4 linked regions of the Saccharomyces cerevisiae S288C genome follow. The protein of the gene in region 3 interacts with the protein of the main gene of each other region in a biochemical or structural test. Each region holds a gene or a part of one and is shown on either strand. Other genes may lie near its edges. The genes, in order: ACK1, ART5, RSP5 and LDB19.

Region 1 (8,314 bases), on a different chromosome or scaffold from region 3:
TTGTATCCGAATGGAATCGCTGCGTAATTCTGTTTTCCAACCCCATACGCATCAACCCAGCAGACGCCAAGATGATGCATTGGTACGGAGATTTTGGGTCGTCTAGTTTTTGTAATCTAGTTTGTATATTTCCTCTGACACTTTCAAATTTCAAATGTGGGTATTTTCTTTTTAGCTGAGCAGATCTTCTCACGGATGAGGTTCCCACAATCCCCCCGTCTGGAAGGTCATCCAGAGACTTATAAGCAGAGTAAAAGGGCATGACAAGACAATCTGTTGGATCGACCCGCTTAGTGATACCCCCCAGCTCGAAACCCTCTGGTAGTAAAGTGGGCATGTCCTTCAGAGAATGAACGATCAAGTCAAGCTTCTTTGAGGGATCGTCATGGTAAAGATGGTCTTCCAACTCCTTTGTCCATAAAGCTTTACCGCCAAATGAGTACAAAGGTTTGAATTGAATCTGGTCACCAAGAGTTTGCAAAGTGAAAACCTTGCAGTCGTAGTCCGGATACTTTTCTTCGATCAGTTTTAAAACATGGTTGGATTGTATTACCGCCAATTTCGATTTTCTCCCACCAATATGTAGAGTTTCAGGGCCCATAGTACGTGTGTATTTACCAACTACAAATTTATCTAGATTTTCTTCGCTTTTCTTTTTTTCTATTGTTCTAGATATTAATACGGGATGAGAAGAACAGAATATTCAAAATCTAATACAGCCCTGTACCATGCAAACACGAGCGTCAATCTGCCAATGACCTTGAATTCAGGCTATGTGTAGCAATAATACAGATAGTTAGTAGCCTCGTTTATATAAAGCGTTCCTTTACTTTTTCATTTTCTTTCTTTTTTTATGTTTGATTTTTTTACTTTTTCACTTTAAAAAATTGCTGAAATTTTCGTAGCCAAAAAAAAGACCTTCATTGCTTACTCATCGGTTTCTTATTGGTCAGACGCTCCCCAGGGTCAATTGACAAGGAGAGAAGGAATGTTATATGGGAATTGCTGCGTAAAGATGGTCAAAAATCCTGGACTGCCGTACGAACGACAATGTAAGGATGACTGCATTAGCCAGAAAGACATCTTTACCCCCGGTGCTGCCAGGGAGCAAAATAATTACGAAAAGTGGACGCAAAGTTAACTTAAACTACAAGGGTAGCAGCAGAATGTGTCGGTGGTACCGGTGTGATAATGCCCCATTTGAGATGCTTGTAATTGTGGCCTAGCAATAAGAACGCAAGGCGTTTTTGTTGAAAGGAGAACAAGGTTAGACGGTGACGTTTAGGCGCATAGGCAATCTCCCCTTATTGTTCACCCTTATTTCCACCCTCAAACGATAAAGCTTGCTACTTTGATGAAAAAAATATATAAAAGGGATTGAAAAGCAGATCAATTATGTAGCAATAGTAGTAATAACTTGTTCAATTGCTTGTCTCAACTTGCCACAAACTATCATCAACATGAATAGGAATACGACTACCAATAAGAACGCGAATTTGAATAACAGTAGAAATGCTAACGCTCCCGGTGAAGCAGGTCATCAGAACAAGACGGGATTGATATACTGGACTAACCCTAGCAAGTCGGGTGCGAGCTTTGCTGCGACTCTGGTGAGTTTGCTGATCCTCAGAAATGTCAATGTTATTTCTGTTTTACTTAAGATCGGATACATGGTGTTGTTCACGAGTTTTGCGGTGGAGCTTTCTACAAAGGTGCTATTTGATAAAGGAGTAGTGTCTAGGTTTGGCATGCAAGAGTCTCCGGACCTTGTTGGCGTCTTAAAGCCTCATATCGACCGCGAATTGGATCGTCTGCCTGCGTTAGAGGACAGAATCAGAAAGTTAGTGTTTGCACACAGAACAAGAAACAATTTTACCATTGGTGTTTCCCTCTATTTCTTGCACGGCCTATTTGCTATATTCTCTATGAACACTGTTTTGATAATGACCACCATCTTTTTGTACACTGTGCCTTTAATCTACGATAGAAAGCAGGCTAGAATTGACCGTGCTATCGACAGGATGAAGGATCTAGTTATTCATAGGTTTCACAAAAATTACAACAAGGTGGTTGAAAAGACTGAACCATACATTGACAAGATTATCCCACCCCAAACCGATGAAGGCAGCTACTCAACCTCTATCAGTAACGAAAACAAATCTTCTACTTCTCAACGTAACAAGAGCGGCCTTTCCTCTTCTGAGTTTGACAACATGAACGACACGTCAGCCTCCAAAAGTGGCAAAGACAGCTATTCTACCTCTCAATATAACCGAGCCGAATATCCAGTTTCTCAGAATGAGAATATTGGCACCTTAAAATCTGGGAAGCAGGAAATACCAACAGAGAAGGATTTCAACAACAGGCATGAAAACTTCAGTAAACCAGATGTCAAGACATATGATCCAAGAACAGTTGATATTGAAGAAGAATTAGCAGCTCATCAGCGTGAACTGGAGCAAAACCTAAAAGATGGTGATTACAATCTGGTAGGAAGCAAGGAAATCCCAGATCCAATCACCGTTCCAGCTCCAACTAGACACACCACTAAACCCGCCGAAAGCCAATCGATTCCCATCAAGAATAATGAAACCTTACACAAAACCACGCACGGCCTAAAGCAAAAATTGCAACACGCATAATCTAGTTTTTTTTTTTTTCTCTCTTCTTTCTAGCTAGTAGTTCATTTCCTTTTCTTTTTTTCAAAGAGGTCATATTTATCACCAACTATATATTTTTTTGAAGAAAAGATATCATTACAACGATAAGTAGTTACAATATTTTTTTTATTTAGTTTAAAATAATGAGTAAATGACGTCGCATTTCTTCGCTTTTGTTATTTTTATTCTCCTCTCATTTTTGAGGAGAATGTTACAATATTTTACTAATGTCCTGAATAATATTTGATTTATGGCATAATAAAGAAATGCGAATTCGTTAATTTGTCAAACTTCGAAGAGCATCAACTGCCTTCCTGAATCCCATTCTTGCAGCCCTCTGATAATATTGTTTGGCCAGATCCAAATCAACTTCACAACCGACACCTTTTTCGTAATAAAATCCTAAGGCAAATTCAGTGCGGGCTAATTTACCGTCTGAACACTTGCTGCTCTTCAAGGCCCAGTTGAATGCCTCTTTATTGTTTGGTTTCAAAATATTTGGTGCTCCCGTTAAGTACCATCCACTTAAGGATAACATTGCCATCGGATTCCCCTTCGGCTGAGCAGCAGCAGCTTTGGAATACCAATATATGGATTTTTTGGCCACCACTGGCAACCCTAGGTCTCCAAACTCATAACAATTTCCTAATTTCCATTGCGCTAAAGGGTACTCAAAATCTTTGGCACATTGTTGGTAGTATTTTATTGCCAGTTGAGAGTCTTTTCGTATGCCGTTCGCAAATAATAGGTTCTGGATTTCTGGCGGCAAAACACTGAATTCATATATTTTACCTAACTCATATAATGTTTGTGGAGAGTCACCCTTTTGGGCAGCTTTATCAAACCATTTAATAGCTAGCAATACATCAGTCTTTTGCATGTTCAGACCGTATAAATGGCTCATCCCTAATTTATACATACACGCAGAATTTGAACAAACTTCTGCGCCATGCTGGTAGTATTGGAAGGCCTTTTTTATGCATTGTTCTTTGGTTGGTGATGGATCCAAAGAAGAGGTGCCCCTTTGGTATTCAAAGCATACACCTGCACGGTAGCATGCATCTGAATTGTTCAATTTCGCAGCTTTACAATAATATTCCAGCGCCTTTTCATCATTTTTAATAACGATGTTTTTGTTCTTTATAGGTAAATAGGGTTGGTGTGAATACAGCGTCCCCATTAAATACATGGCAGGTGGCCATTTTAAAGTTATCAATTTTGTGAGCACCTTGAATGAATGTTCCAAAATGACTTTCTGGTTTTTGAGCATTTCCTCAGGCTTTAAGCTTCTTTTGAGCTTCTCCGCGTTTATGTTATATTGCGATATGAAATCCTCATTAAAGGCATATGTAAGTAATGTTTCACACCATTGCATTTGTATCTCGGGGGTGAATTTTGAAGAGTCAGTAATTGTCTTCTTGTACACTTGATAGAAAGCCAATGCCTCTGGTGAATAGGAAGACAGTTTGTCCTCACCACCTGAGGACCCATTATCGTCTGTCTTCGCGCTCCCAGTGGGTGGTTGGTTGATTTTTTGTGGTGGAACAGGATTATTATTCAAAGGTCGTATTGGAGCTTTTTCCTCGGTTCTGTAAACTTTTTCCTGCAGTATCCTAGATTCAGATTCCTCATAGGGTGGTGGCGCTGAGTTGTCCCTTACAGACTCTGATATTCGATTTCCACTGCTTATTGATGCATCTTGTACAGCTGGTGAACCCAAACTCTCTTTTGTAGAACTAAAATTGAAAGGAAGTTCATACCTACTACCAGTACTGTTGGTGCCATTATTGGCATATCCTATTTCACCTGTTGGCTTGGAATTAAAAATGTCCATGCCGTTATTACTATTTATGGTTACTGGAGTGCCTAATTGACCACCATCAGCATTCCCGTCTGTGAAATTCAGCGCACTCAAAGGCAGCGATAATGATGAGGAAGATGAAGGGGATGTAAAAGGAATAGCTGGTGTGAGTTCAACGATAGAGTCATCCACTGGATAGGGTGCAGGCACTATATTTTGAGCTGGCAAACCATGCCTATCCGAATTGGCATTTCCCAATTTATGCGAGGACTCCCGCGCCCTTGCTGGTGGAAACATGTTAATGTGTTTGTCATAGAGGTTAGGTTGCGGTTGGCCCTGATTAACCATTGCCTACTGTATTAAAACAAAGTATTAAAACGTGGTGGTACACTCTGTACAAAAGAATAGAAGGAAATGAAAAGAAAACGGAGTTAAAATCTACTTCATAAAAAGAGACGCTTCCAAATCCAGTCTCTACCACGTTCTTGTATATAATTTGAGCAACTCAAATTAAATTACCGGGATATCTGCTTATTCTACAAGCCATAGCATCCAGTGCTAAGGTTCATCTCAAGCCATCTTCAATACACTTGATAATTAGTCGTCAATTTTAAAATTAGGTTTCGTTCTTGAAGGCACTTAACCTAAGCTTTTTACTATATGACCTATTAAACAAGTCTTTTTCATAGTGTAACCTAACGTTTATACACTAATAACCCTAGGGCTTAGTAGAGATTCATACAGAAAAAAACGTAGAGTTATAGCAGTAAACTGAGAAAAGAAAGAAGGTTAGTACAATTGAAGAGTAAGGAAAACAAAAGCTTTAGACCTTATTGGAAGTGCTTGGGCGCGGAGTGTGATTATAAATAATGTTGCAGCTAAGGTTTATGCCTGGATGGGTCCCCAGAAATGGTTTTTTTGGTTTGAAGGAGACAATTGGTACAGTACATAAGAGATTTTATGCTCTGGCTTCTGAACAACCCTCAAGAAAGACAGTAAAGCCGCTGGACTCGAGGAAGACGTTTCTCATCGATACATACAAGCATTTAATGGAGAACAGTTCTATGATTTTTTTTGTCCATTACAATAATCTTTCCAAAACAGAAGATCACCATTTCAGATTCAAGATTAAACAGACAGGAGGGAAACTCACAAAAGTAAGAAACAACCTGTTCGAAGTCTACTTGAGAAATTCGCATCTGCCCGACCCATGTGGATTCGTGAAGCGTAAAGAGCAAAACTGGAAACATCCACTCTTGCCACTACTGAAGGGTCCTACGGCCACAATTACATACGAAGACACCAACCCTCAACAAGTAGCCAAGCTATTGAAGGTTCTGCAGTCAGCACAAGACAAGCTGATGGTGATTGGTGCAAAAGTAGAAAACGAAGTTTTGAATGTGGAAAAAATAAACACTTTTAAGACTCTCCCCACAAAGCCGGAAATGCAGTCGCAGTTAGTCAGCGTTTTGCAAATGCTAAGTGGGTTGGGTTTGGTTCGTACGTTGGAAAACAGTTCAAATGCATTGTATTTAACACTAAAATCTCACAATGACAACCAAAAACCTAAAGAGGATGTGGAGTCAACTACAGATGCAGAATCGAAGGGATCAAAGTAAAAAGAAAATGCCCGTAATTCGACAAGTTTTATAAAGGTTTTACTATTCAATCATGTACATACATCATCAAAAAATAAAAAGACAATGAAGCAATAACGGTAAATATACTTTAGTCTATGTATTGACGTCAAAATTACCTTTCTTTTACCTTTCTTACCTTTTTACATATCTCAGCGACCGTTGAAAAAAAAAAAAAATGAAAAATTTTGGTGATGACTTCAGCAAAAAATTTCAGGATATTTCTGACATTTCACTTTATTAAAGCGCCACAAAAGCTGGATTAGTATAGATTCAGCAGTTCCCATAGGATAAAATTTTCAAGCGTTTATTGTTAAGATGAAAGCCAAGCCACTAAGCCAAGATCCAGGCTCCAAGCGTTACGCATACCGTATAAATAAGGAAGAAAATCGTAAGGAGTTGAAGCATGTAAAGATCAATGAAAGTTCTTTGGTGCAAGAAGGCCAAAAGATCGACTTGCCAAAGAAGAGATATTATCGTCAAAGGGCGCATTCCAACCCATTTTCAGATCACCAGTTAGAGTACCCAGTATCTCCCCAGGATATGGATTGGTCCAAATTGTACCCTTACTACAAAAACGCGGAAAATGGACAAATGACAAAGAAGGTGACGATTGCTGATATTGGCTGTGGATTCGGTGGGTTGATGATAGATTTATCACCAGCCTTCCCTGAAGATCTTATCTTAGGGATGGAAATTCGTGTGCAGGTTACAAATTACGTGGAGGATAGAATTATTGCCTTAAGGAACAATACAGCTTCAAAACATGGATTTCAAAACATTAATGTCTTGAGAGGTAACGCTATGAAATTCTTGCCCAACTTTTTTGAAAAGGGCCAGCTTTCTAAAATGTTTTTTTGTTTCCCCGATCCTCATTTCAAACAAAGAAAGCATAAGGCAAGAATTATCACTAACACCTTGCTGAGTGAGTACGCATATGTTTTGAAAGAGGGCGGTGTCGTGTACACAATTACAGACGTCAAAGACCTGCATGAGTGGATGGTAAAACATTTAGAAGAGCATCCTTTATTTGAACGGTTGAGCAAAGAATGGGAAGAAAACGATGAATGTGTGAAAATAATGAGAAATGCCACAGAAGAAGGTAAAAAAGTGGAAAGAAAGAAGGGTGACAAGTTCGTCGCTTGTTTCACAAGATTACCAACGCCAGCCATATTGTAACATAGATGTATAACTAGAACAATTTACCACATATACATAACTATTTCTTATGTTTATTTTCCTAAAATCCTTTATCCAACTACAATCTACTAAGGCTTAAGCTATTTTCCTTTTCATTATTTAATAACTGTTCTTTCAGTTTACAGCTCCATTTATATCCGGTTAATTTTCTATTGCTACCAACGATTCTATGGCAAGGTACTAACAATGCCAGGTTATTTGAGCCGCAAGCTCTTCCGACAGATCTTGCGGCAGTTGGCTTCCCTATTCTCTTTGCAATATCACCATATGTTACGACGTGGCCGTGTTCCACGTTTAAAAGCTCATTCCAAACTTTACGTTGAAAATCTGTTCCAAACAGGAACTCAAAGGGAATAGCGCCCGATGGTAATGGCATTTTGTTTTCTAAACATATTGTATAATTTTCGATTGATTTCTTATATGTTTCTGCCTCTTTTAGTTCCTGTAAATCGTACATTGTATCCTGTTTCTCATGTTTCTTCAAGAAGCCTTCCACCTTTCCCAATAAAAAAAGCTTATCATTACCTAACGAGGCAAAAACAAGGTTTTGAGTCTTTTCCCTAAACACCAAAAATGCACCAGTCACTTCAGTTTCAATGAATGTATAGTAAAGCAGTTCCTTCATCGTTGGTCCATTTAGATCAAAAATGCGACCGTTTTCAATTTTTTTTTTGTGCATATGCTATATCATTACTTGATTAATCTTCCTTGTTTCCACCGCATTTTAAATGCCCTGCCAGGCCAATAGCGCCGTGCCTTTTTTCTAATGACTATAATAAGAATATGTATGTAGGATAAAACTAAACATTTATACTTAGGATGAAGCAAATATTTTTATGAGGCCATACTAGGCAACTGCCATGTCTCCAGGCGAATTCTGGCCTCCACCTGAACTGGGTTTATTCGCAGCAATGTTGTCGCTGATATTTGGATCGGTTCTGTTATGAAAACTGAAAAATTCTCCAGTCCTTGATGGTCCTGAATCAGATGTAATGAAATAAACATTTTGTGCAGAA
Region 2 (7,919 bases), on a different chromosome or scaffold from region 3:
CAGTAGTATATGGTAAGCAATGAAGGAATCTGACCAAAAATCGAACAAAATGGAGTGTAAGTCTGTCACCAAGTTCTTTTGGTGTGTTATAATGTAGTCATTCACAAACACTTCAACCTTCTCAAATTCCTCTTTCTCTGTTGATGAAAGGTAGCTCTGACGTTGTACATAAATGGTATCGAACCAGAAATATAACATTAGGTGAACATTGGGGTTTACTAGTAATTGAGATACTTGTGATGGTGAAACATCCGAGCTTGCAATTAACTCCGATGAAAACAATTTTAGTTGGAAGCTGACAATGTCGGTAATTAACTGAATATTCCTTGGGTTTAAAGATGCCAGCGTGAAAGACTTCAAATTAAGAAGCATTGATATGATTGATAAGTTCGTGGTGATCAAGGTTTCATCAACAAATGAGGAAGAATGATGAAGTAAGCACGAGGTCGATACCTGTGGAAAGTTATCAATGAACCATATGTTCCTTGTGGTCCCATTTCTCAAAGTCAAGTTGTTGATGAATTCGAACCAAATCGTTTCCCACAATAACCAGTTACTTTTCGATTTGCAGTCCGTAATCCTGGCGTTCATAACGTTCGCAAATAAAGAGGGGTTTGCACTAGTTTCAGGTTTGATCGGCTGCTGCATTACGAAACATTCATTCAAGTAAACCAGCAAATCATGCACTCTAAAATCAGATGGCAGCTCTTGCGGATAAGTCTTCTTTATTATAAAATACACGTACGCGGAATCTGCCAAAATATTGATATGCTTTAAAGTTAAGTCAGTAGTGGACATTGACGGTCCCTTGTATATGAAGTCCTTAAGTGGATTAGACGAAATAAACTCTTGATTGACGAACCAACCAAATATTAGTAAAGAATCGTTGTTGAAGTTGTTTGAATCGCGCAAGATATTGACCCATAGATCGAATATGAACCATGCATTTTCCTTACTATTCAAATAATGGTAACTGGAGGATGCCACGGTGAATGGCTTCAGAATATCTTGAAGCATTGAAAACACATCGAACTTTTTAATGGAATTAGAAACAGGAATGTTATTCTCCAACATTACTAGAAGAGAATAAAATAGAATCAAGGCAAAAACATCATGTTGCTCTGTCTGTGACAAAATGTCCTCAGTGTCAAAGTCATTGTCATGTTTAGATGAGCTAGCATACAAATTCGTACAACAGATAAACCATAGTTTTTGAGAATCTTGATTTAACGAAATGGACATACCCAGACAAGCTATTATGAGACCAAAAGGCTTGTTAATCCAAAAACTTTCCACCAGCTCGTCATTTTGTAGTGATGAGAACAGGTCTGGAAAGAAATTTTGGAAGATCTTATTTTCTACCAAGTGGCTTACACCCATTCTGAAGAAAGTTAGAATATCTCTTGAGCTAATAAAATCTAATGAATATTCTTGCAAAATTTTTACACTGATGGAGGACTCCAACCGGCTTTTAACCTGCTTAAAGCGGCTTTTCCCTTTCTTTAAACTAGAGGACTCCTTCCCAATCACACAACGTTGCTGCTTATCCATTTTTTCAACATTACTACTATGATAGTGAATATTGATAAGGCCGCTGTTGACCTTAATCATCGAATTAACGAGTGTTTCCATTTTGATATCTCTGGGTGAAGTCGAATCAACGTCACCAACGCCAAGTGATACAGGGATATCAGCCTTATCGCCTGTCATTGACGCGTAACTGGATAAGAGGAAGGTTCTGTGGACAGTCCTGATGTGTCGCTGTAAGAGATCGCGTCTAACAAAAGAGTGTTTACAGACTTGGCACTGGAAAGGCTTCACGCCCGCATGAGACCTTTCATGCCTTATCTTGTGCTCGGATCTCGAGAAAGGCTTCAAACAAAAGGAACATATATATTTTTTTTGACCCGCAGCCATAGCAGTGATAATGCAAATACAATTACTGTATATCAACAATTGTCTTCTCCCGAGAGAAGGTTTTAAATAAAAGCGACAAGTAAAGCTCTTAAGCCATGCCAACTGGCATGAAGAAGAACCGAAAAAGAAGAAATAGAAAGCAGAAAAATGTAAAACTAAACTTTATAAGTACTTTGAAGATGCGTTCTATATAAATATGTGGGGTTAAGTGAACATGACTCGAAATCTATAATGCAGCGATTACGATAAGTATCCACATTAAACGTCAATTATTTTGCGTTGTAAGCATATGCGCGGGGGAGGGGGCGCACCCTTGAAGTGCAGTCTGTCTATCATATTACTGAACCATTTCCTTCGCTTGACTTACATCATTGGCAACACATGCCTGGATCGCTTTAGCGGCTACCTTTAGTCCATATTTTCTTCTATTACCAGATCCCATCATCCCCCTTTGTCCGATTGACGACCATTTTGCCGCGGACGATCGGAGGGGATTGCCAACGCGGGGTAGCCGACTCGGGGCGCCGAGAGCGGGGATCAGTCATCGTCGCAGTAAGCGGGTACGGACCCTGTCACGTAAGACGATGCCGATGCCTGCGCCTGCGCCTGCTCGTATGACGGCACTGTCAGTACCACCGAATCGGCGCCGAGCGGCTGTAGCGCCGGCATGAGATGATCGTTGGTGCTCTCGTGATAATTCGGTGGCGGTTGTGGCAGCGCGAGGTGCGCCGTTGTAGTGGAGTTCAGTTCAACGCCTGGAGTCAGACCCTGCGCGGGGTAAGTGGTTAAAAAAAGGGGTACTAATTCGCCAGGGCGGAAGTGGATCTTGCCATCGTGTTTATCAAACAACACTAGACGGCCTTTCATAGGCAGATGCGGCGAAATAAATAATAACATAGGTAATTGCGCCTTGATCTCCAGGTTCTTGTATTCGCCATCCACTTGACGTTGTAAAAGAATACGTACCTGCAATTTGTGCATGACACGGATTAGGTTGTCTTGCAGACAGCAGTCTTGAGTTATTTGTTTGAGGTTATCTGGAATTGTAAAGGGACAATCGACGTCAAGTTTGTCCGTCAGCGGGCCGAAGTCCGCTAGATGAGTAATTTTCATGACGGCTATTTCATCATCATAAATTTGTGCGCTGCTGTCCTTCATTGCGTAATATTGGATTAGCGCCATTTCTATCCTATCCAAACGAATGTTCTTTTCGAAGGGGAAAATCTTAATCTTCACGGGGGTTGTGCTACCAATAGGAACAGCCCTACTCGGGATGGACGTTTCGTATTGCAACTTGTCACGCCAAGTATTACCCACGCTAATTTCTTCTTGCATGGCAAGATTGTCCATCGATAATGTACGAAGGATTCTGAGATACTTGAACTTTTTGATGATAATTTTATTCTTCGTTCTCATACCATTGCCGCTCGTACTTGTGCTACCGATTGGACCGTGAGGAGAAGTATGAACGCTCAGATCAGTATCCCATAACTGACGTCCATCTATAATGGCTTCAAAGGAATACAGTATGCTACCACTTTGTAGTCCCTCGATTGTTTCGCACACTTCTGGGGGGAGCATTGTATTGAAGGGTAGTTCGTAGTTGCCTCTTTTCATTAGGAATAAGTACGAACTTCCAGACCCGTCTCTGTTACTATAACTATGGCTATTGTTATTGAGGGTGTTACTACTACTGCTTCTACTACGGGCGTTTTCTCTTAAACCCTCGAAAGGGGTTCCTGTAACACCATTTTCTGGTAGCTCTAGTATTTTTCTGTGGGAAGAATGGGTCTTTCTTCGAATTATTTTGTTGAAAACAGGGCTCGAAAGTGATCTCTTGCTTAGAAATATTGCGTTGCCGCTGGTGTCCATATCTTGGTTGCTTGTACTGCGACCGCTACTACTGTTATGTTGATTTTCCGCATTTTCCCCACCGACTAAAACATCCCCTTTTGAAGAAACCAATAAGTTGTCCCAATAGCATTCGAAAATCTTACGCTTTTCCTTAACTAGACTTGCCAAACTACTGCTATTCTTCTTATATCGGCCAACTTGCAAAAACTCCAATTTGAATCTTCCTACCAATCTCAGCGAAATTTTCTTCACTACGATCTCATTTTTCACTGAAATCACTAAGTTTCCTGATAAAGGTATAGACGACAGTTCCAACGGTGACCCTTGGATCAAAATTATGTCCTTGTACGGGGAGTTTATTCTAATATCAAAATAACTTATTCTCTCTCTTTCCTTCTGCTCTGAATGCCCACCGCTGCTAGATAGCGAACTAAGTGAAAACATGGTCTTGCTTCACCCTATTCTCGCCGAGAGCTGTACAAGATATTTTTTACTTTTGCCATCTTATACTCATCCTAATCATCTGTTTCATTTTCCTTCTATTTCTTTTTTTTTTTTTTTTTTTTTTTTTTTTTTCAGTTTTCGAAGAAACTGCCTTTTTAGAATTGTAAAAGACGAAGTGAAGTATTCAGGAGTATATTATTACATACATACAAAGCAAGACAAAGAAACATTTTTAGATCTAACATTTTACTTCAATTGTTTTTGTATTCCTTATAATAAGAAAGACCTGCTGTTTAATGTGGGAGTAATCCGTCCCCTACTCGATCTTCAATAAATTGTCATCTTGTATCTAAAGGAGCGCTCCAGTACTCCAATTAAGCACCACCTAGTGCGTCTAGTGTCGATTTTTTTTTCACGCATACGTTTGTATGTTTCTTAAATTTCCCATGATTTTTTGTTGCCAATGTCATATCTACAAACTCTATACGAAAGTAAACGCACTTCATCTTTTTTGCCCTAAAACGGCAATATTTAGACATATCATAAGGGGCCCAAGGGAGAATCGTTAATTTTAAACTTTTCTTTGCTCTTGAATGAAAAAGTAAATAAATAAAACTAAATCAAAAAAAAGAACGCCACGTTTGAATTTTAAAGCAAAAATTTTGTTGATTTAGTAATGATATAAATAAAACCAAGTCGTTGGTAAGAATTTGGTTAGGTTATGAATAGTAATGAACTGGATCTAAGAAATAAATATTTTTATGAGATATTCGGTAAGAAAAGAAAATCAGATACTTCAACCCCTACTCAGTTGTTCTCCGGCTCCAAAGTTCAGACAAACATCAATGAAATTTCTATCACTAACGATGAGGATGAAGATAGTACTGAAGATGAAAATAAGGCTTCATTGAAGGATTATACACTAGGGCACGACACCGGTGCACGGTATAGGATAGCACCGGACTGTTCTTCCCACCAATTAAAGGCATCTCCTGTCCTACATATTTCAACAAACCTTAATTCAAGTCCACAATCCTTCACAGGCGATCAGATTTCACCTACTAATAAAAAAATTTCAATAAATGATTCGACCAGACAAGATAAAGGTAACAGTTGCACTACCACTTCATCACCTTCTCAAAAAAGATCGAATGTTTTGCTTCCTCACGTAAGAAAACATTCATCTCCTTCACTATTATCATTTTCCAAAAACAGTGGCAGTCATATGGGGGATCCAAACCAGCTATCTACGCCTCCAACTCCCAAAAGTGCAGGTCACACGATGGAGTTACACAGTTCATTCAATGGAAAACATAGTTCTTCTAGCACCTCTTCTTTATTTGCATTAGAGTCACTGAAAACCCAAAATAGACGCTCATCAAACTCTTCCAATCATTCTAGTCAATATCGACGCCATACTAATCAACACCAACGTCATCATTCAAGGTCCAAATCAAGTCCTGTCTCTCTGACGGAAATATCCATGATCAAAGGCACGCCTTTGGTTTATCCTGCACTTTTATCACTAATAGCAATTAAATTCAAACAGACCATCAAATTGAGCACGCATAAAAAGATGGGGTTACTTTACAGAGATTCCTTTACAGGAAAACAAGCAATTGATACTTTATGCTTGATCATAGGAAGCTTAGATCGTAATTTGGGCATGTTGATCGGAAAATCGCTGGAAGCTCAAAAATTGTTCCATGACGTACTTTATGACCATGGCGTAAGAGATTCTGTACTGGAGATTTACGAGTTATCTTCAGAATCAATTTTTATGGCACATCAGTCGCAGAGTTCTACTTCAATTGCCAACACATTTTCTTCATCATCTTCTTCAGTTAATTCGCTCCGTACTAAAACTGAAATATATGGTGTTTTTGTCCCATTGACACATTGTTATTCCTCTACATGCTCTCTGGAAAAACTTTGCTACTCTATTTCTTGCCCCAATCGTTTGCAACAACAGGCTAATTTACATTTAAAATTAGGTGGTGGTCTTAAGAGAAATATTTCGTTAGCACTCGATAAGGAGGATGATGAACGAATTTCCTGGACAAATTCTGTACCAAAGAGCGTATGGGAATCATTATCCAAACAACAAATCAAAAGGCAGGAGGCAATATATGAGTTGTTTACTACAGAAAAGAAGTTTGTAAAATCTTTGGAAATCATCCGAGATACTTTCATGAAGAAATTATTAGAAACGAATATTATTCCATCTGATGTAAGGATAAATTTTGTAAAGCACGTTTTCGCACATATCAATGAAATATATTCTGTCAATAGAGAATTTTTGAAGGCTTTAGCACAAAGGCAATCATTAAGCCCAATTTGTCCTGGAATTGCAGATATATTTTTGCAGTATCTTCCTTTCTTTGATCCTTTTCTGTCATACATAGCATCAAGACCATACGCAAAGTATCTAATTGAAACCCAAAGATCAGTTAATCCCAATTTTGCTCGTTTTGACGATGAAGTGTCTAATTCTTCCCTGAGGCATGGGATCGATTCATTCCTATCTCAGGGTGTTTCAAGACCTGGTAGATATTCACTGTTGGTAAGAGAAATAATACACTTCTCGGACCCAGTAACAGACAAAGATGATCTACAAATGCTAATGAAAGTCCAAGATCTTTTAAAGGATCTAATGAAAAGGATTGATAGAGCAAGCGGTGCAGCACAAGATCGTTATGACGTTAAAGTGTTAAAGCAGAAAATTCTATTCAAAAATGAATACGTTAATCTGGGTTTGAATAACGAAAAAAGGAAAATCAAGCATGAAGGTTTACTCTCAAGGAAGGACGTGAACAAAACAGATGCGTCCTTTTCAGGAGACATTCAATTTTACCTACTCGACAATATGCTATTATTCTTGAAATCAAAAGCTGTAAACAAGTGGCACCAACACACTGTATTTCAGAGACCAATTCCACTCCCTTTACTGTTTATTTGTCCGGCTGAGGATATGCCACCCATAAAAAGATATGTGACAGAAAACCCAAATTGCTCAGCGGGTGTGCTCTTACCCCAATATCAAACGAGCAATCCCAAGAATGCTATTGTATTCGCCTATTACGGTACGAAACAACAATATCAAGTTACTTTGTACGCGCCGCAGCCGGCCGGATTACAGACATTAATAGAAAAGGTGAAACAAGAGCAAAAAAGGCTCCTTGATGAAACTAAACATATTACTTTTAAGCAAATGGTAGGTCAATTCTTTCACTCATACATAAATACTAATCGCGTCAACGATGTCCTAATCTGTCATGCTGGTAAAATTTTATTGGTTGCAACAAATATGGGACTCTTTGTTCTTAATTATGCTACATCGATCAATCAAAAACCAGTGCACCTTCTGCACAAAATATCAATTTCACAGATCTCTGTATTGGAAGAATATAAAGTTATGATTCTTCTAATTGACAAAAAACTGTACGGCTGTCCTTTAGACGTAATCGACGATGCAGAAAATGCAGATTTTCTTTTCAGAAAAAATTCTAAAGTGTTATTTAAATATGTTGCAATGTTCAAAGACGGTTTCTGTAATGGTAAAAGAATCATTATGATTGCACATCATTTTTTGCACGCCGTACAATTATTGATTGTTAATCCTTTGATATTTGATTTTAATAGCGGTAATTTTAAAAAAAACCTAAAGGCAGGCTTGGTAGATTTTAGCGTTGATTCTGAACCTC
Region 3 (8,493 bases):
AATGCATTAAGTTCAGACATTCTTGGATTTGTGTGTTAGTTGACAATTTTAATTTCTTCATCTCTTTTGACACTTTAGAATGGTATAGCTCATCGGTTTCTTTTCTTCAACCTTGCAGGAAAGGCGTAAAAAATTTTATGTCGTCGGCAACGGTTCTAGTAACAATCCGATGAAAAATTTTCCGGACAGCGATGAGATGCACTTTTAAGACAATTGAATGGATTAGGTATCAGTTAGAGAAGAACTTGGTTTTCGTATCTGGCGTTTTTATCTTTAGTCAGTAGTCAGTCTCGTATCAATACTGATATATACAACGAAACAATGCCTCAAAACGATTATATCGAGCGTCACATCAAACAGCATGGTAAAAGATTAGATCACGAAGAAAGGAAACGTAAGAGAGAGGCAAGAGAGTCTCATAAGATTTCTGAACGGGCCCAGAAGTTGACTGGTTGGAAGGGTAAGCAATTTGCTAAGAAGAGATATGCTGAAAAGGTATCAATGAGAAAGAAGATTAAGGCACATGAACAATCTAAGGTCAAGGGTTCATCCAAACCATTGGATACCGATGGTGATGCTTTGCCGACATATCTATTGGACAGAGAACAAAATAACACAGCCAAAGCTATTTCTTCATCGATCAAACAAAAGAGGTTGGAAAAAGCTGATAAGTTTTCAGTTCCGTTACCAAAGGTTCGTGGTATAAGTGAAGAAGAAATGTTCAAAGTTATTAAAACAGGTAAATCTAGATCCAAGTCATGGAAGAGAATGATAACGAAACACACTTTTGTGGGTGAAGGTTTCACTAGAAGACCAGTTAAAATGGAAAGAATCATCAGACCAAGTGCGTTGAGACAGAAAAAGGCAAACGTCACTCATCCGGAATTAGGTGTAACTGTCTTCTTGCCAATTTTGGCAGTTAAGAAGAATCCACAATCTCCAATGTACACTCAGTTAGGTGTTTTGACTAAAGGTACCATTATTGAAGTTAACGTTTCGGAATTGGGGATGGTTACTGCTGGTGGTAAAGTTGTCTGGGGTAAGTATGCTCAGGTCACAAACGAACCAGACAGAGACGGCTGTGTCAATGCGGTTTTGCTTGTATGAGCAAAAAAGTGCTCCGTTTTTTTTTTTTTTATCTCGATGGTTCAAATTAGGTTTACTTTTAATTTAATAATACGATATACGTCTACAAGCACAAAAGAACAGGTATATAAAAAATGTACGCTCTGTCCTGTTCGGGTTTCTCTTTTTACTTCTCGTCATTCTCTGTACAATATAACAAATCAAGAATTTATTATCCGGTTCTTTTTTCCTCACGACAAATAACCGATACTCTCCGTGTGTAGGTGACTGGCAAGAGAGGGATTGCCTAGTACGCTCGTTTCAAGTATGTACCTCACGAGAGCAATTTCAACTGTAGTATAATACCCAGGTCACTATTCAGTTTTAAAATGCAAGAAAATTAAAAAACAAAAAACGTATGGTTGTAAAAAGCAGGGCACATTATATGTATATAAATAAAAAAAAAAATTAATAAAATCTAAAAAGAGGATATAAAAAATAAGAGGCGTAAGGCAATATAAATTATTGGTATCATGCTCCTTTTGAAAAGGAAAACCTCCTCTTATGGCGAACTTGAAAAGAACTTTGCGTAATCATCAAAAAAAGCACTTCACGTTTTCCTGCATTTTCTTTGCTGCTTTCCATGTTGCTGTAAAAACAACAATGATTAATCATTTCATGAGCAACTCAGATAAAATTAACAAAAAAGAGTTTTCTCTTTACTATTGTTAGCTGAAATATAAAACAAGATGATTGAGGCAGAAAGAATGTTGGGAAAACGGACACCATAAATAAAAAAAAAATTGGTGCGGAATAATCATTCTTGACCAAACCCTATGGTTTCTTCCACGGCCAATGTTAGCTTCTGTTTCATGCTGTCATAATCAACGTATTGTGGCAAATCAACTCTGTTAAAACATGTGTGAGATTTTGGCAATTGTTGTACTTCACCAGCTTTTTCAATAGTGAATCTTCTTGGACCATCAGAGCCTTGCAAATCTTTAAACCCGTTGACAGGTATACGAGAAGTACCAGTGGTGAACTGCAATAAACGGGCTCTTTGTTCATTATCCCATTCACTGACACACTTCCAAAACCATTGAATGACCTCGTCTGACTCTTGGTAACCACGATAATCAGTGTGTTTCTTCCAATCTTCAATGTCAATTTCCGCAATACCACCGATCAATAGTTCTAGTTCACGCTCATCAAACACAGTTACTAAGTCTTCGGGGATTAATTCGTTAAAACCATCCATGAATGCCTTAAATTGTTCTTGAACTCTATCAACAATTCTCCATTGGGTATATAATTCGACATATTCTTTCTTATTACCATCAGTAACTTCAATATTTCTCCCATCTGGCTTCAAATCCACTGTTACAACTTCACCGAATCTTTCATCGTCGGCACTGAACGTCAGATCCAAGACACCATCTATACTATTCTCAAGCATCCAGTTTAATGAGTTATACACCTCTGCGTCAACACCTTCCATATCTTGCAATACGACTTTTTTACGTAGCATCATTTTGTAAAGTGCACCTACAAAGAATGCATCCAAAAATCTTCTATGGAAAACACCAAGACCCACAACTCTACCAATGAATTTGAAATAGTTCAAATGTTCGGGGTTGATGCCACTGTTAGGATTTATTTGAATGGTATAGTTGTCATACGCAGAATATTCAAACAAACAATAAAATGGATTAAACATCTCATGTGATAATAAAAAGAAAAATTCTCTGGAAACACCACCGTAATCTAAACCTTCCTCACCATCAAACTTGATCATTAATCTTTTCTTTAAATCTTCTGGGGTTTGTCTCATAATTTCTTGATAAGCATCCTCAAAAATGTTCTTTCTACGTACTTTAATATGACATTGTCCCGGCAATATTCTAAGAGCGGGCTGGGACCTGAAATAAATAACCTTACGTCTGAAGTCACGCTTGTATTGTGGAACATTTTGGTCTAGCGATGATGGAAGTCTTGGGTCATCCCAGGTCGTTGTTTTTGTATTGTGGTCAACGAAATATACACGTGCCGTATTGGTCAATCTCATTTCCCATCCAGAAGGCAAAGGACCTAATTGGGAGACCGGTTGTTGCTGAATGGTGGTATTTGTAGGGCCATAAGTACGTATATACTGTTGTCTCCTTGGATCCACCCAAGTGGTTGTTCTAGTATTATGGTCAACGAAATAAGCTCTTCCTTCTGGAGTAAATCGCTGCTCCCAGCCTGAAGGTAATTCGCCTAAACCAGATGTGGTACCACCTGTAGCTGCAAACGCTGCTGCTGCTGCACCATTAACAGGAGGTATATTGGAACCACCTCCCACTTGAACTGTTACAGAGGAATTATCTGATGATCCACCAGGTAAAGTTCTTCCCCTATGCTGCCTTCTCTCTAACTCAGTATTTGCATTTAATTGGTTGCCACGTTCGGCTTCTGTTTGATCGAGCGTTGGACGTTTCCAAGTGGTAGTCCTTGTGTTATGATCGACGTAATATGTACGACCAAAGTTATCGGTCCTTCTCTCCCAACCAGGGGGTAAACGACCATACTGGTCTTCAAACGAAGAGTATTGTCTGGTAGCACTGGATGTGGAATTGGTGGAACGGTGACTGGTTGTTGCCGTATTAGTAGCAGCTGTTGTACCGCTTTGAAGAGTTGATTCTACTGCTTGCGCGGTGCCTCTGGAAGGATGAGACGTTGAATGATTACGGGTGGAGGAAGTAGAATGACCATTTGTTCGAGTAGTTGAACTTGTATTCGTACTAGAAGATGCAGTATGGCCAGAAGGAGCTTGTGAATGCGGACTTGACGAAGGTAGTTTTGATAAAACAACAATCAACCTACCGCTGACGGCCATTCCGTCATTAGATTTTTTTAAATCACGAGTAATAGTTTCTTCGCGAGGTCTACCACTCGATGTAGCAGTATCTTCATCCAAATGGCCCAAAACATCACCCACGCGGACGTTAACCACGCCAAGAAACCCTTGATCCTTCTTTTTAAATTTCTTTTGATCAAAGACTTGGATGGTTAAAATAGAATTTTCATTGATATCGTCGAATTTGAAAGTCTCATTCCAGTAGGGATTTAACGTTTTCTTCGCTGCGGATGTAGATTTGGTTTGGTAACCATCAATAGTCAGAACAGCAAACGGATCCGGGGAACGGAATACGTCCCTCTTATATAATGACTCTGCAGCCACTAACTTGACGGATATGGATGAAGGCATTTTTTTTCTTTTTTCTTTCCTTTCTGTTACTTTAAATATAATACCCAAGCTAACAAAGAAAAGGGAATAAGAAAAGGGGAAAATAGTTTTTGGTAAATTTATCGAACTAAAAACGCACTAAGAAAAAGCTGTGGCTTATGAAAGTGAAAGTCGAATAACACTATATTCGGTAGTTCCAACTAAAAGGTACTTACACACAAAAACAAGCAATTATTTCCTGCTGTTTTATTTGCTACGCACTCACTCTTCTAAAGAAGGACTGAACTGAAATTTTGACTCACTTGCAAAATGTGCTTCACGAATTATAGTAACAAGTCCAAAACTGTGGAAAAAACTGACAGCGCTTATTATCTTATAATCGTTTTTGTTTAACGAAAAAGTCGACTCTTGTAGCTCTAACGAAGAAAATGGAAAACAGCCTCAAAACACAACAAAGTCCTTTTATCAATTAGCAGATGCGATACTCGAGTACCCTAAAAATGGTTAAGCGTATGTCTTTTAATTGTCGAGATAGAAGCCCCCTCCCCCGCCAGCAAAAAATATTACCTTTCACCATGAAGATCACTGCAATTTGGTCTTTACCAAAAATTTCCACTAAATTTTTGTTTTTTCCCCTTTCTCGTATAATGTCATTATGTACGTAAGATCACATGATCGTATACTGTCACGTGACTGTGCGGCTGGTCTGCGCCAGCAATTTTTTTTTTCTGCTCTCAAATGTAAACAAACCAGCAGTCTGTTTTCTAAACAAATAAACATTAAAAGGTAAACAATACCAAATAATAATAGCAGCGTCAAAGCTACATTCTCAGTTCTCAAAGCTATTGTGTTGATTTCTATGTATGATTCAATGCCGGCATGATGTTAAATTTGCTGGTTTACTGAATAAGGCTTGGTTCATAACCAATTTGTAGTCATGACGACATAGCTGGGTGGGTGCTTACTGGTTTACATAAATAAGTGCGTAAACGTTTTACAATATATAAAAAGGTAGAAATATCTCTCCCAAGCTTTCCTCAAACTATCTTTTGGCTTCTTCTTCTTGCATGACTTCCAAATTTTAATCTGTGTTTGCTAAAAAATTTGATTGTAGGTGTGATAGTGAGAGTGACACGTATTAATATTATGCAAGATACCAAATACTACGAACCAACAAATATTTTTCGTCAGCCTGCTATTAATATAAAGAAGAGATCAGATAAAAAGAGGATTTTACAATCGATGATGACTTTATCCACATACAAAAAAACGTGGCAAAACAATACTTCGAAAATGAATTCACCGATTTTGCGAAAAGCATCAGACAACTTCAATGACTATTATACAACTAAAAAATTAAAATCAGATTATTGGAAACTGTACGGTGTTGATGAAAGTGAGTTATCCATACCTTCAGACATGTCCATTGTGGATAATATACTTCTAGTATCTACAATGAACGAGAAAGACAACTTGAAACTTTTTGAAATTTCCGCTGAGAAAAAGCTGAAGGAACTACAGACGATTACTGTTCCCGGTAAACCCATTACTTGTATCTGCTTATTGCCCATGGTAGATTTTCCGCCACAGATTTTCCCCAGCTCTCAAATAAATCCTAACCACAACCAATTAATATTGACAGGTCATCAAGACGGTATAGTCAATCTGATAGCAACTTCAACATATAAGGGATGTGCTAAAATAATAAAAAGGTTTAACCACAACAAGTTTCTAAAATCTACCGTATCAACGTCGATTCCGATTCTGGAAATAACGCCAAAAACAGCACCTATTTTGAAGGTTTCGCCATGGAACAAGACCGGTTTTGTTTCCCTTCTAAATGACTCCCTCTTTATATATGACTTGAAATCAAATCTTGATTGCATAAAAACACCTATTTTTTTGCAATCATATCCAGGTATAAATTCTTTTGCCGTTAATGAATTCCATGATCCCTTCTTACTGGCCTTAGTTGGCTCAAAATTTGGACCAAATGGCATCTCGCTGCTTGATTTGAGAACAAATCTCTATATTCCAGATATTTTAGATAATAGCATATCTGCAGGATGTGGAAAAGACCATTTGCAAAGAAAGAACACAAGTTTGGATTGCGTATGGATAAGTAATCATCACGTTGCACAGAGCTTGAACGATAAAATTCAAATTTGGGACATTCAATCCTGCGACGGTAAACCAGTTTGTGAATTATATGCTAAGAAAGGATACATTGAAAGTCTAAAATTTAACGAAAACACAGGCGCGTTATATAGCAGTGATGACCAAGGCTTTGTCATTTGTTGGGATTTACAAAACCTACAAAACATGAAATATGGTGAGTTAGTCCATGGATTTAACTCAATTAGCCTAGATAGTGAAAGTGAACTACTATTAACCAAGCAAGTCTTCCAATGTGGAAACATTATTGTGAGTGGTATGAGTGATAAAAATATTTGCTTGAAGAGCAATGACACTAAGGCCAATGGAAAAGGATGTGGATTTTTATTCCTTGATATGGCAAACGATGGAAGTTTAGTAACTCTTGACAATTTTTGTGAACTGGGATTACATCAAATTTGTCAAGTTCAATTCAATGTCGATACCGGTAAAATAATCGATGGTAATGGTACTGGGAAGAGTGGAATATCTGATTCTTCTATGTTATCATTATCCAATGAGAGTGACCATAGTATGACAGAAACATCTGATGATATGTTCTCAAATTCTGGTAATTGGGATTGTTCTTCAGCAAATACTGTTAGCGAAGGTAGATTGAATGATGACCAAGAGGATATCGTCTTCACAAAGAGGATGTATTCTGTAAATGATGTGCATTTAAGTGGATCTACTATTGATACTACTGTTGTCTAGTTTCCTTGAGTGCTTTCAAATAAAAACAAATAACATATCAATGAATCAAAGTAACATTTCTTTGAAGATAATTTCTTTGTCTGTCACTCAGAATGCCCTTTATTACTAACGACCATCCTCCTTGATGAAGGTGAAAATCAATAAAATTCAAATTGTGACCCAAGTCCAGTCAGTGGATCCTTCTGGTAACACAAGTATTCGGTTTTTTTTTTTTCTCCATGATCTGTATGTTTTACTAAGCTTTGAATTTTTCTTACACAATGTATATATATATATATGTGTGTGTATATCAAAACAGCGCGCGTAATTGTATGTAGCATTTAGAATCAAGTTCAATGCCGAAATTTGTTATGGTTGCCTACGTTTTTTTGGCTTCTTAATTTAATATCAAAATCTTCACGATATGCATTCATTCTCAAGTTTGTAATTGTGCATTTTTTTATATATAGTCCCGCTCTCAAGTGAATTAGAAAAGTAAAGTATACACGCAAAACAAGGGCGTAAATAAAAGAAAACGAAAAAGCAACTAAATAAAAGCTTACATCCAAGTATCAAAGAAGTCGCTCACGGTTTCTCCAATTCTTGAACCTTGATTAATCATAAATTACATATTATTTTGGATATTCTTAAAAAAATGCTATAATAGTGCTTGAAGATAGATTTAGCACACCAAAAACATACCGGGATTAATATATATGTGCGTGTAGTCTTTTGATAAAGGAATATACAGAAGGAAAACGATTACGATGCTGACTATGTCTCATTTTCTTCTTTTTCCTGTTTCTTTACCCTCTCCGGAATTCAATTATTGTAGATGATAAAATAAAGGGTAACAGAGAGAAAGAGAAACAAAATAATACATTATTGGAAAGTCATAAATTGGGAAAGAGCGGCATAAGGAAACAGCCAATCAAAAAAAAAAAGGAAAAAGAGAAAAGTATAAAAATCGCTTTATCAACAGCAACAAAAACAGCAACAACAATATTTGTATATTTTAGAACAAAATGTATCATTCTCGTCATCAGAATAAGCATCATTTTCTTGTTCGTAATTTCGTTGACTTTGATAATTGATATTCTTATTTGCAAGGTTTGTGTAGTGGTTTGGTAAGTTGTGCTCATTATTACTTCTTTTAGGGTTAGCTTTAGAACTTGAATATGGTACAAATGGTGAATTTTGTGTATGACTGATGGAGTCGTACGTTTGACTTTGACTTTTAATTGGCCGTTGAAGATTTGAATGTGTTTCAGGAATATATTTACTATTGGGTTCGATTTTTTTCAAGACGTGTTGTTGTTTAGTAAAGCTCTGCGGGTTCGAAGAAATTCTGGATT
Region 4 (8,526 bases), on a different chromosome or scaffold from region 3:
TGAAAATCGCGACGCGAGGAAAGGCAAATATAATAGGCCACCTGGCCGGTGTACAATAGAAAATCTCTAAAGAAGGGCATTCCAACTCTTCCTTTCGACATAAGAGTAAAACAAATATTTGTGTGCTCCAAATACCGGCAAATAAAATAACAGACAATGCCGTACAGAGTGGCGACGGGCTACAGTGAAAAAAGTACTGACGATGATTTGATATGGAGAACGCCAATAGTAAAAGAGGAACTCGAGGATGCTGACAACTTTTTAAAGGATGATGCCGAGTTGTATGATAAAGTCAAGAACGAGAGTGCAGTATCACACCTGGATACCATAGTTATGCCGATCATTTTCACGGTACTGGGCATGTTCACTAGAATGTACAAGATTGGTCGTAATAATCATGTGGTCTGGGATGAAGCTCATTTTGGTAAGTTCGGCTCTTACTATCTGAGACACGAATTTTACCATGATGTTCATCCACCTTTAGGTAAAATGCTTGTTGGACTGTCTGGTTATTTGGCTGGCTACAATGGTTCTTGGGACTTCCCATCTGGTGAGGTTTATCCCGACTATATCGATTATGTGAAAATGAGGTTATTTCAAGCAATGTTTTCATCATTGTGTGTGCCACTAGCCTATTTCACAGGAAGGGCTATCGGATTTTCTAGGCTGAGTGTTTGGCTATTTACCATTCTAGTAATTTTTGAGAATTCGTATGCAACATTAGGCAAGTTCATTCTCCTTGATTCAATGCTACTTTTCTTTACCGTCTCTTCTTACTTTTGCCTTGCCAAGTTCCATACTATGAGAAAGTCTCCCTTTTCGGCTAGGTGGTGGCTATGGTTGTGCCTCACTGGGTTGAATTTGGGTTGCGCTATATCTGTGAAAATGGTAGGTCTTTTCATCATCAGTGTAGTAGGAATTTACACCATCAGTGAACTATGGAATCTCCTAAGTGATAGATCGGTGTCTTGGAAGGTTTATGTCAACCATTGGCTAGCAAGAATATTCGGGCTTATCATCATTCCTGTTTGCGTTTTTTTGTTATGCTTCAAAATCCATTTTGATCTGCTGTCCAACTCAGGGCCCGGCGACTCTACCATGCCATCATTATTTCAAGCCAGTCTGAACGGTACAAAAGTTGGTAAGGGACCACGTGATGTTGCTTTGGGTTCTTCTATTATTTCCATCAAAAATCAAGCGTTGGGAGGCGCTTTATTACATTCTCATGTCCAACCATTCCCAGAAGGTTCTGAGCAACAGCAAGTAACTGTCTATGGTTACAGTGATGCTAACAATGAATGGTTTTTTCAAAGAATCAGAGGAGTAGAGCCTTGGACTGATGCTGAGAACAAGACAATTGAGTTTGTAAAGGGTGGCGAAATGTATAGATTAATGCATCGCCTAACAGGCAAGAATCTACACACCCATGAAGTCCCAGCGCCTATATCGAAAAGTGAATATGAAGTTTCTGCTTACGGAGATGTAGACTTAGGTGACTACAAAGATAACTGGATTATAGAAATCGTGGAACAAGTAGGGGAAGAAGATCCAACACTACTACACCCGCTATCCACATCTTTCCGTATTAAAAATTCTATACTGGGTTGCTATTTAGCTCAGTCAGGTAAACATTTACCAGAATGGGGTTTCAGGCAAGGTGAAGTTGTCTGTTTAAAACACGCCTCCAAAAGGGATAAGAGAACCTGGTGGAATATCGAAACACATGAAAATGAAAGATTGCCACAGGGAGAAGATTTCGTATATCCGAAGACTTCATTCTTCAGGAATTTCATGCAGTTAAATTCAGCAATGATGGCAACCAATAATGCTTTGGTACCAAACCCTGAAAAGTTTGATGGTATAGCTTCATCTGCCTGGCAATGGCCAACCTTGAACGTCGGGGTAAGATTATGCGAATGGAGTGAAAAATCTATAAAGTACTTCTTATTAGGATCTCCTGCGTCCGTCTGGCCCTCAAGCATCGCAGTTTGCGCACTGATAATACACGTTATATTCTTAACTCTGAAATGGCAGAGACAATGTGTTATCCTATCCGATCCAGTCGAACGTGACGTGTTCGTTATGGCAGCCTTTTATCCATTGCTTGCTTGGCTTTTACATTATATGCCATTCGTAGTGATGTCAAGAGTTGTATACGCTCACCACTATCTGCCCACCCTTTATTTTGCCTTAATGATCTTGTCATACTACTTCGATATGATTACCAAACGTTGGGCTACAAGAAACACTGGAAAATTTCTAAGGCTAGGAGCTTATATTGTATACGGATCAATCGTGATCGCTGGATTTTTTTATTTCTCTCCTTTTAGTTTTGGGATGGATGGTCCAGTAGATGATTACGCGTACTTGGCATGGCTACCTACGTGGCAGATTGTTGAAGATATACGTAACACATAGATATATAGAATGATCAAAAACTTTTCTTCACCACACAAAAAATGTTAATTGATGCGCGAAATATCTTTTTCGACTTATGCCTTCTTCTTTATCATAACAAAGCTATGTACCTACGACGAAATGAAGATATTAATCCAGTCCAGCCTTAAGAAAATACGAGAAAAAAAATGCTCAAGTGTTAAACAATGCCTGTATGTAGTTATCTGTGAAATGCATCAAATCATGGTCAGGGTTTGCTTATTGATCAGATTTGTAGTTTTCAGGTATCTAAGATAAAAATATATGGTAAATACCTTTAACGAATATTATAAAATCTACTGGGTTATTCTATTGGAATCTAGAAAATCGGAAAAGTTTTGTATTCTGATATCTCTTGTGCTATGTGGTGTCAACACATGTCCACGAAAAGGTACACTACCCTGGACACTAACAACACTTTCCAGTGGTGGTGACTGTACTGTGGTAAGGGATCTTTGCGAAGAGGAAGCAGGCTGGTAGTGATGTGCGGTTGGTGGTATCGTTAATTTATTTTGTGTGATCGTTACTTCCTGTACGTTAGGACCAGGTTCGAGCCCTTGGCTCTCATAGTTCCCAATATCTTCATCGCTGCCGCCCACAAAATCATCCTCTGATCTAACAGGAGTACTCATTGTTGAATAAAGTTTATTTTTGATTCCATTATTTATAGAGAGCTCGTAACATGGTGGCGAGAGCAACTCGACATCTTGGTAAATGGGAGGAACTTCTTCGTCCCAGGAGATTCCAAGTCCAGATCTTTCAGTGACTGTTAATCTGAATTGCATTCTTAAAACACGTGCTGCACCAGTGGGAACACTCACTATATTAGAGTTACTAGCACCGTTAGATGCCTTCTCCTTATTAGTACTATGGTTGGACTTATTACTATTCACCGGTGTTATATCTTCAGGCCCCATGCGCCGTACTTTCGGTGTATTTCTATTTGCAAAAATTGGAGATAATTCAGCTAAGCGTTGATCAGGATTATGAACATTCATCGTATTGTTATTAGTTTCTTTCTTGTTTTTGGAGTTTGGTTTCCGTATAGGTTGCCCATTGGCATATTGCAATGTTTCTTCTGCAACAACTATTTCCACTGCCAAGATGTGGCTTACATACAAACCTAAATTTGGATCCTGTATATCGCAAGCCACATTGATGCTGGGCTTCTTATTGCCCGTGGAAGGAGTTTGTAGTGTCGATGCATGCATTACCGGATTAGAGACGCCTGAATTAAGTCCCATACAATCTATTTCTGTAACTAGCTCAATCTTTCCATTATTGTCAAAATCGGTTTTCCATCCACTCTTCATTTCTCCCTTAGATATTATCCGAACCTCTTCCGTAAATAAACTACTGTTGTTTTTTAGCTCTTGTTGAAGTTGTTGTTGTCTTGCGCGTTGTTGCTGCATTAGTAACTCCTGACGCAAAGCGTCGTCACTGGGATGGATGAATTCGCTACCGGGTTGGTCTTCCTCATCTTCATTAACAGGATTTTCATCATCAAGTCCAACATTACCAGTTGACGCTGGACCCGAAGAATTAGGTGCTTGTTCACGACCGGGCTCGCCTGGAAGCCTTTGCGACGGCATATTTTCTAAAGAGTTTACTGCAACCCGGATTTGTGGGCCTAGTTCACCATAACGCTTAATATGACTGCGTGGCTTTTTACTTTTTTCTGACTCTTTTATTTTAACCTGCTCTTCTAACTGCCTCAATTCATGCTTGTGCACTGGACAAGCATGTGCTTTAACTCTTGTAGTTTCTTCAATTCTCCAACTCAATTTACGCATTCGCCATCTCCTATCCCCCGAAGAAACACCGTCTAATTTCATCTCCAAAGGAAAAGTAGATTTAGGATATACAACATTAGGAAGAACAGCAGCAGCAGTTAACTCTGTAGGAGGAAATACTCTTAGAGAATTCTTATCAGGCCCGCGCGGTATACTTCGAGTCACGGCGATGGGCATCGCTAGTTGCAACAACCGCTTCTTAGAAGAGCTTCCTTCTTTCCTGGGAGTAGAATGACCGGAAGAAAAGGAATTTCTATGAGGATCTATATACGTCACAACAGCGATAAGTTCGTATTTGACCTGGGTTTCAGCCGTAGCACCTAGCGATGAAGAACATGGGACAGACCCCGGTATAAGATAGGAAAATGGGTAAGAGTGGCTTCCAACAGAAAGATCCTGGGTATTACTCTGAATTTCCCAGCTTTTCATGTTTGTAATCTTTGTTTTACAGTTCATACAGGTTTGCATTGAGGAAATATTAGGCACAAAGGGTTTATGGAAATGGATCTTCTGTACCAAACTTAGTGTTACCGACGTAATGGTGATCTTGGTATAACCAGCCATTATTCTTAAATTAGCAGGCGTGGGAGAATGCGATATGGATGTAGAAGATGTTGAAGGAGAGATATTTGACGTCGACGCTGACAAGCTGGACAATCTAGATGAAAGTGCAGAACCAAATGTACTCTTTCTTTTTAGGCTTTTAGAAGTAGTCGACACATTAGATTCTGTATTCTTTAAAGATTTATCTTCAGCACTACTGTAGGGATCGACAACCGTCACAGTAAAAAGTCCACTTAGCACAGCACCTGAGGATTCCATAGCAGACCCATAAAGAACACATGGCGGTGATTCTACATCAATAGAAAGGGTTAGTGGAAGACTTTGTCCTTTTTTGTTGCTATTACTGTAGCCGTTATGATTGGACTGATGAGTAGATGTAAGACGTGAAAATGCCATGGTAAAACGTATTGTTTAGTGAAATGTATACTAAGTAGGAGTAAAAATCAGCAATTTCTGGTGTTGAAATGTGAACAACAGCGTTCTCCTCCGAAAAAGCAAGCTATAACGTTGCTCAACTTTTGATTCCGAAATCAGAAGCTTAAATAAGGAAAACTGAAAGCTAATTGGATGAAGCACACAAACTTAATCAACCTTATTATTCAAAGTATTCGGAGCCCTAGTAAAAACTGCCTATGATATGTATGAGTCGTGCTTTTCCGTCTGGTTTAATAAGTGTTCGAGTCAGCTCAAATCGCATTTTTGTCTTGAAGCTTCCGCCAAAAGAAAAAAAAAGTCGTTAATAGCGATACAAGTAAGCAATTAACTATCACACCATAGAATGAGTTGACAAGAGTACTTATTTGATGGCTTTACTGAACTATGTATACACGTCCTTCATACATGGAACTTAGCTTTATCCTAAAAATTTTTATAATGTCACAGTCTTTATATCTAAATCCTTGTGAACAAAAGCTTTGTTACCACCAGCACCAAGGTAGTCACTAGCAACCTGGCCGTCACCTCTTATTTGGTATTGATAACTCACCAGACCGTCCAAGCCAACTGGACCACGGGCGTGAATCTTAGAGGTAGAAATACCCACTTCAGCACCAAAACCGTACCTGAAACCATCGGCAAATCTAGTTGATGCATTCCAGTAAACACCAGAGGAGTCGACACCCTTCATAAATTTTTCAGCGTTTGCTTTATTTTCCGTTACAATAGCGTCGGTATGTCTCGAAGAGTGTGTATTTATATGTTGAATGGCCGATTCTGTAGATGTAACAAACTTGGCAGCCAAATCCAAGGATAAAAATTCCTTATCAAAATCTTGCTCCTCATCAGCATCAACGGTTTTGCATTGAATTGCTTCTGTCAATTTCCCTAACTCATTCAGTTTATCAAAATACGCAGTTTTCAAATCTTTTGTAGCGTGGATAGTCACTCCGCCTTCCAAAGTTAAGTTTTCCAGAACTTCCCACCACTTAGAGAATTTTGGGTTAATCAACAACGTTTCCATAGCGTTGCAACCAGCTGGGTAGTTAGTCTTTGCATCCAAACTAATTCTTTTTGCCTTAATCAAATCTGCGTCTTCATCCAAGTAAATTGAGCAGATACCATCCGCATGACCCAACACGGGAATTTTTGTAGTGTCCTTGATTTTTCTGACTAAGGCATTGGAACCACGAGGAACAACTAAGTCGATGTACTCATCTTGATCCAACAAGTCGGAAACATCCTGTCTGGTTTCGATCAATTGCACAGAGCCCACAGGAACACCAGTCTCACTTTGGAATTGTGCAATGGTGTCGTTAACGATCTTTGCCATTTCTCTGAACGTGTTCACAGACTCTTTACCACCCTTCAAAATTGCAGCATTACCAGACTTGATACTCAATGCGGTAATATTGGCAATAACTTCTGGACGGGATTCAAAGATAACTAACAAAACGCCGACTGGAGCGGTTACTTGGTACAACGTCAAGCCATCATCTAATTCCCTGGCCATTTTAACCTTGCCAACAGGGTCTTCTAGTTCGGCTACATCCTTAATACCTTGTAACATAACTTCAAATTTGTCCCCTTTAAATAGGTCGAGACGTTTCAATAAAGAATCCGCTAGGCCAGTCTCTTTGGCAACAGCTAAATCGATTTTATTCGCTTCTTCAATGGCATGCGCATTAGCCTTCAGGGCATCGTGAATTTTGTATAAAATATCTGATCTGCCCTCGTTTGAGATGGTTTTCAAAATATTCCCTGCTTTACGGGCATTTTTGGCTATTTGTTGTGAACTGGACATCTTTATATTGGTTGCCTGTGCTCCTTTTTGTTCTTACTCTTTTTACCAATACGCTTTTACTTTTTCTCTTCTTTTCTTGAAGCTTTTTGAAAAACGTCTGTCGACTTTTTTCATTTTTTGACTCATTGACCCAACGCCACAAATGAACAAAGAAATTTGGCCACTGCATCGCCTTTCCTGCCCCATTGATTCAAATGTCCATGCGCGTTGATTGATGTGTGATATATATATATATATATATGTATATAGATGTATATTATTATGTTCAGAGGTGATTTTATCTTTGTACGCGTACCATTTTTGTAAAGTGACCTTGTTTTGACTTTTTAACGAGTAAAAAAACGAGTTAACAAATTCTTGACGTAAACGATAAAGCCGCCCATCAAAAGAAATGCAATAATGTCAATGATGAAATACCTATACAGGTAGATGGATTTCGTGTTGTTCTTCGATTTATTTAACACGTTTTTCAGCTCTATCAAACTATCCATTTCCCTTAGAGAGGACTTTTGTTTATTTAATCTCTCTTGGCAAACCTCCATTCTCCTTTCCAATCCTTGTAATTGCGCTACACTTTCTTCGACTGATATCTTTAATTCATTAATAAACGCCTTATTGTCATCCTCGTCAAAGTCTGATTTCAACTTGACCAAGAATTGATTAATCACCGTGGTTCGCAAGGTGGTCATTTCGTCTAATAAAAGGGTTAACTCTCCTGATAGAAGATCATACTTTTGGATAGTTTTTTGAACGTTGTTTTCATTCTTGATTATTGTATCGTTTAAATTTCTTCTCATCTCATTCTCGATCTTCACTAGAAGTGTCGAAATATGATTTTGATAATAATTCAATTCATCAATGTTATCATTCAAATTTGAGTTGCTCTTCGAAATAGAGTTTGAGCTAGAATCAGGAGTGGCTGCGGAGCCATTATTATTGTTCACCTTCAGTACACTCTTGAACCTAGTGGAAGAATCCGCTGACTTCTGCCTATTCAGTAAATACTTAAATCCCAAGGTATCGGTGCCAGGTGCAGTGGAAGAGCCTGATGAATTCCTTGGTTTCCTCTGGTTAGTCAAATATCCTAAAGAGGGATATACACCGTTTAAACTTCTTCTATCCACATCTTCTGAATCTGATGAGGTGGATGACGTGGACGAAAAGGCTGATGACGACAAAAATGCTGGTACATTAGAACGGGAATACAGAAATGACGAAGAATCGTTGACAGCAGAACCGTCCAAATCATGATAAAACAAAGATGTGCTGGGGGAGGAGTTTACGGAAATTTGTGATTGAGAATGCATATTCCCTAATTTAATGCCGCCAGCGGTGGATGAGGGCTCAAACACTACCGACTCCCTCAACGTATCAAATGGGTCTGAATTTCCCAAAGAAGGCTGTAAAAATTGGTTAACCAATCGTTTCCTCTCATAATCAAAAGAACCAGCGGATGATCTACGTTGCGAAGAGGAGGAACCCTGTATTTGATTG

The links.
Region 1: of the proteins of RSP5 (region 3) and ACK1, one has a biochemical effect on the other in vitro, tested with the Saccharomyces cerevisiae proteins (3 studies listed by BioGRID, with this or other methods).
Region 2: the proteins of RSP5 (region 3) and ART5 form a complex in vitro, tested with the Saccharomyces cerevisiae proteins (4 studies listed by BioGRID, with this or other methods).
Region 4: the proteins of RSP5 (region 3) and LDB19 form a complex in vitro, tested with the Saccharomyces cerevisiae proteins (4 studies listed by BioGRID, with this or other methods).

The regions. Positions count from the first base shown.
Region 1 is NC_001136.10:93,145-101,458, forward strand, and holds ACK1 (Ack1p), read right to left. Parts: upstream 4,810-8,314; coding exon 2,938-4,809; downstream 1-2,937. Other genes in the region: HEM3 (hydroxymethylbilane synthase), read right to left, coding at 1-601; YDL204W-A (uncharacterized protein), read left to right, coding at 989-1,141; RTN2 (Rtn2p), read left to right, coding at 1,461-2,642; mitochondrial 54S ribosomal protein uL10m MRPL11, read left to right, coding at 5,331-6,080; TRM8 (tRNA (guanine46-N7)-methyltransferase), read left to right, coding at 6,417-7,277; MGT1 (methylated-DNA--protein-cysteine methyltransferase), read right to left, coding at 7,357-7,923; YDL199C (uncharacterized protein), read right to left, coding at 8,146-8,314.
Region 2 is NC_001139.9:622,870-630,788, forward strand, and holds ART5 (Art5p), read right to left. Parts: upstream 4,216-7,919; coding exon 2,455-4,215; downstream 1-2,454. Other genes in the region: YGR067C (uncharacterized protein), read right to left, coding at 1-1,917; Rho family guanine nucleotide exchange factor ROM1, read left to right, coding at 4,937-7,919. UniProt on the Saccharomyces cerevisiae protein: May regulate endocytosis by recruiting RSP5 ubiquitin ligase activity to specific plasma membrane proteins in response to extracellular stimuli.
Region 3 is NC_001137.3:406,008-414,500, reverse strand, and holds RSP5 (NEDD4 family E3 ubiquitin-protein ligase), read right to left. Parts: upstream 4,313-8,493; coding exon 1,883-4,312; downstream 1-1,882. Other genes in the region: small subunit rRNA maturation protein LCP5, read right to left, coding at 1-20; rRNA-processing protein NSA2, read left to right, coding at 322-1,107; DSE1 (Dse1p), read left to right, coding at 5,438-7,159; casein kinase YCK3, read right to left, coding at 8,114-8,493. UniProt on the Saccharomyces cerevisiae protein: E3 ubiquitin-protein ligase which accepts ubiquitin from an E2 ubiquitin-conjugating enzyme in the form of a thioester and then directly transfers the ubiquitin to targeted substrates.
Region 4 is NC_001147.6:915,874-924,399, forward strand, and holds LDB19 (Ldb19p), read right to left. Parts: upstream 5,190-8,526; coding exon 2,733-5,189; downstream 1-2,732. Other genes in the region: dolichyl-phosphate-mannose-protein mannosyltransferase PMT3, read left to right, coding at 157-2,418; PRO2 (glutamate-5-semialdehyde dehydrogenase), read right to left, coding at 5,662-7,032; FRT1 (Frt1p), read right to left, coding at 7,359-8,526. UniProt on the Saccharomyces cerevisiae protein: May be involved in protein-linked oligosaccharide phosphorylation since the deletion reduces the negative charge of the cell surface.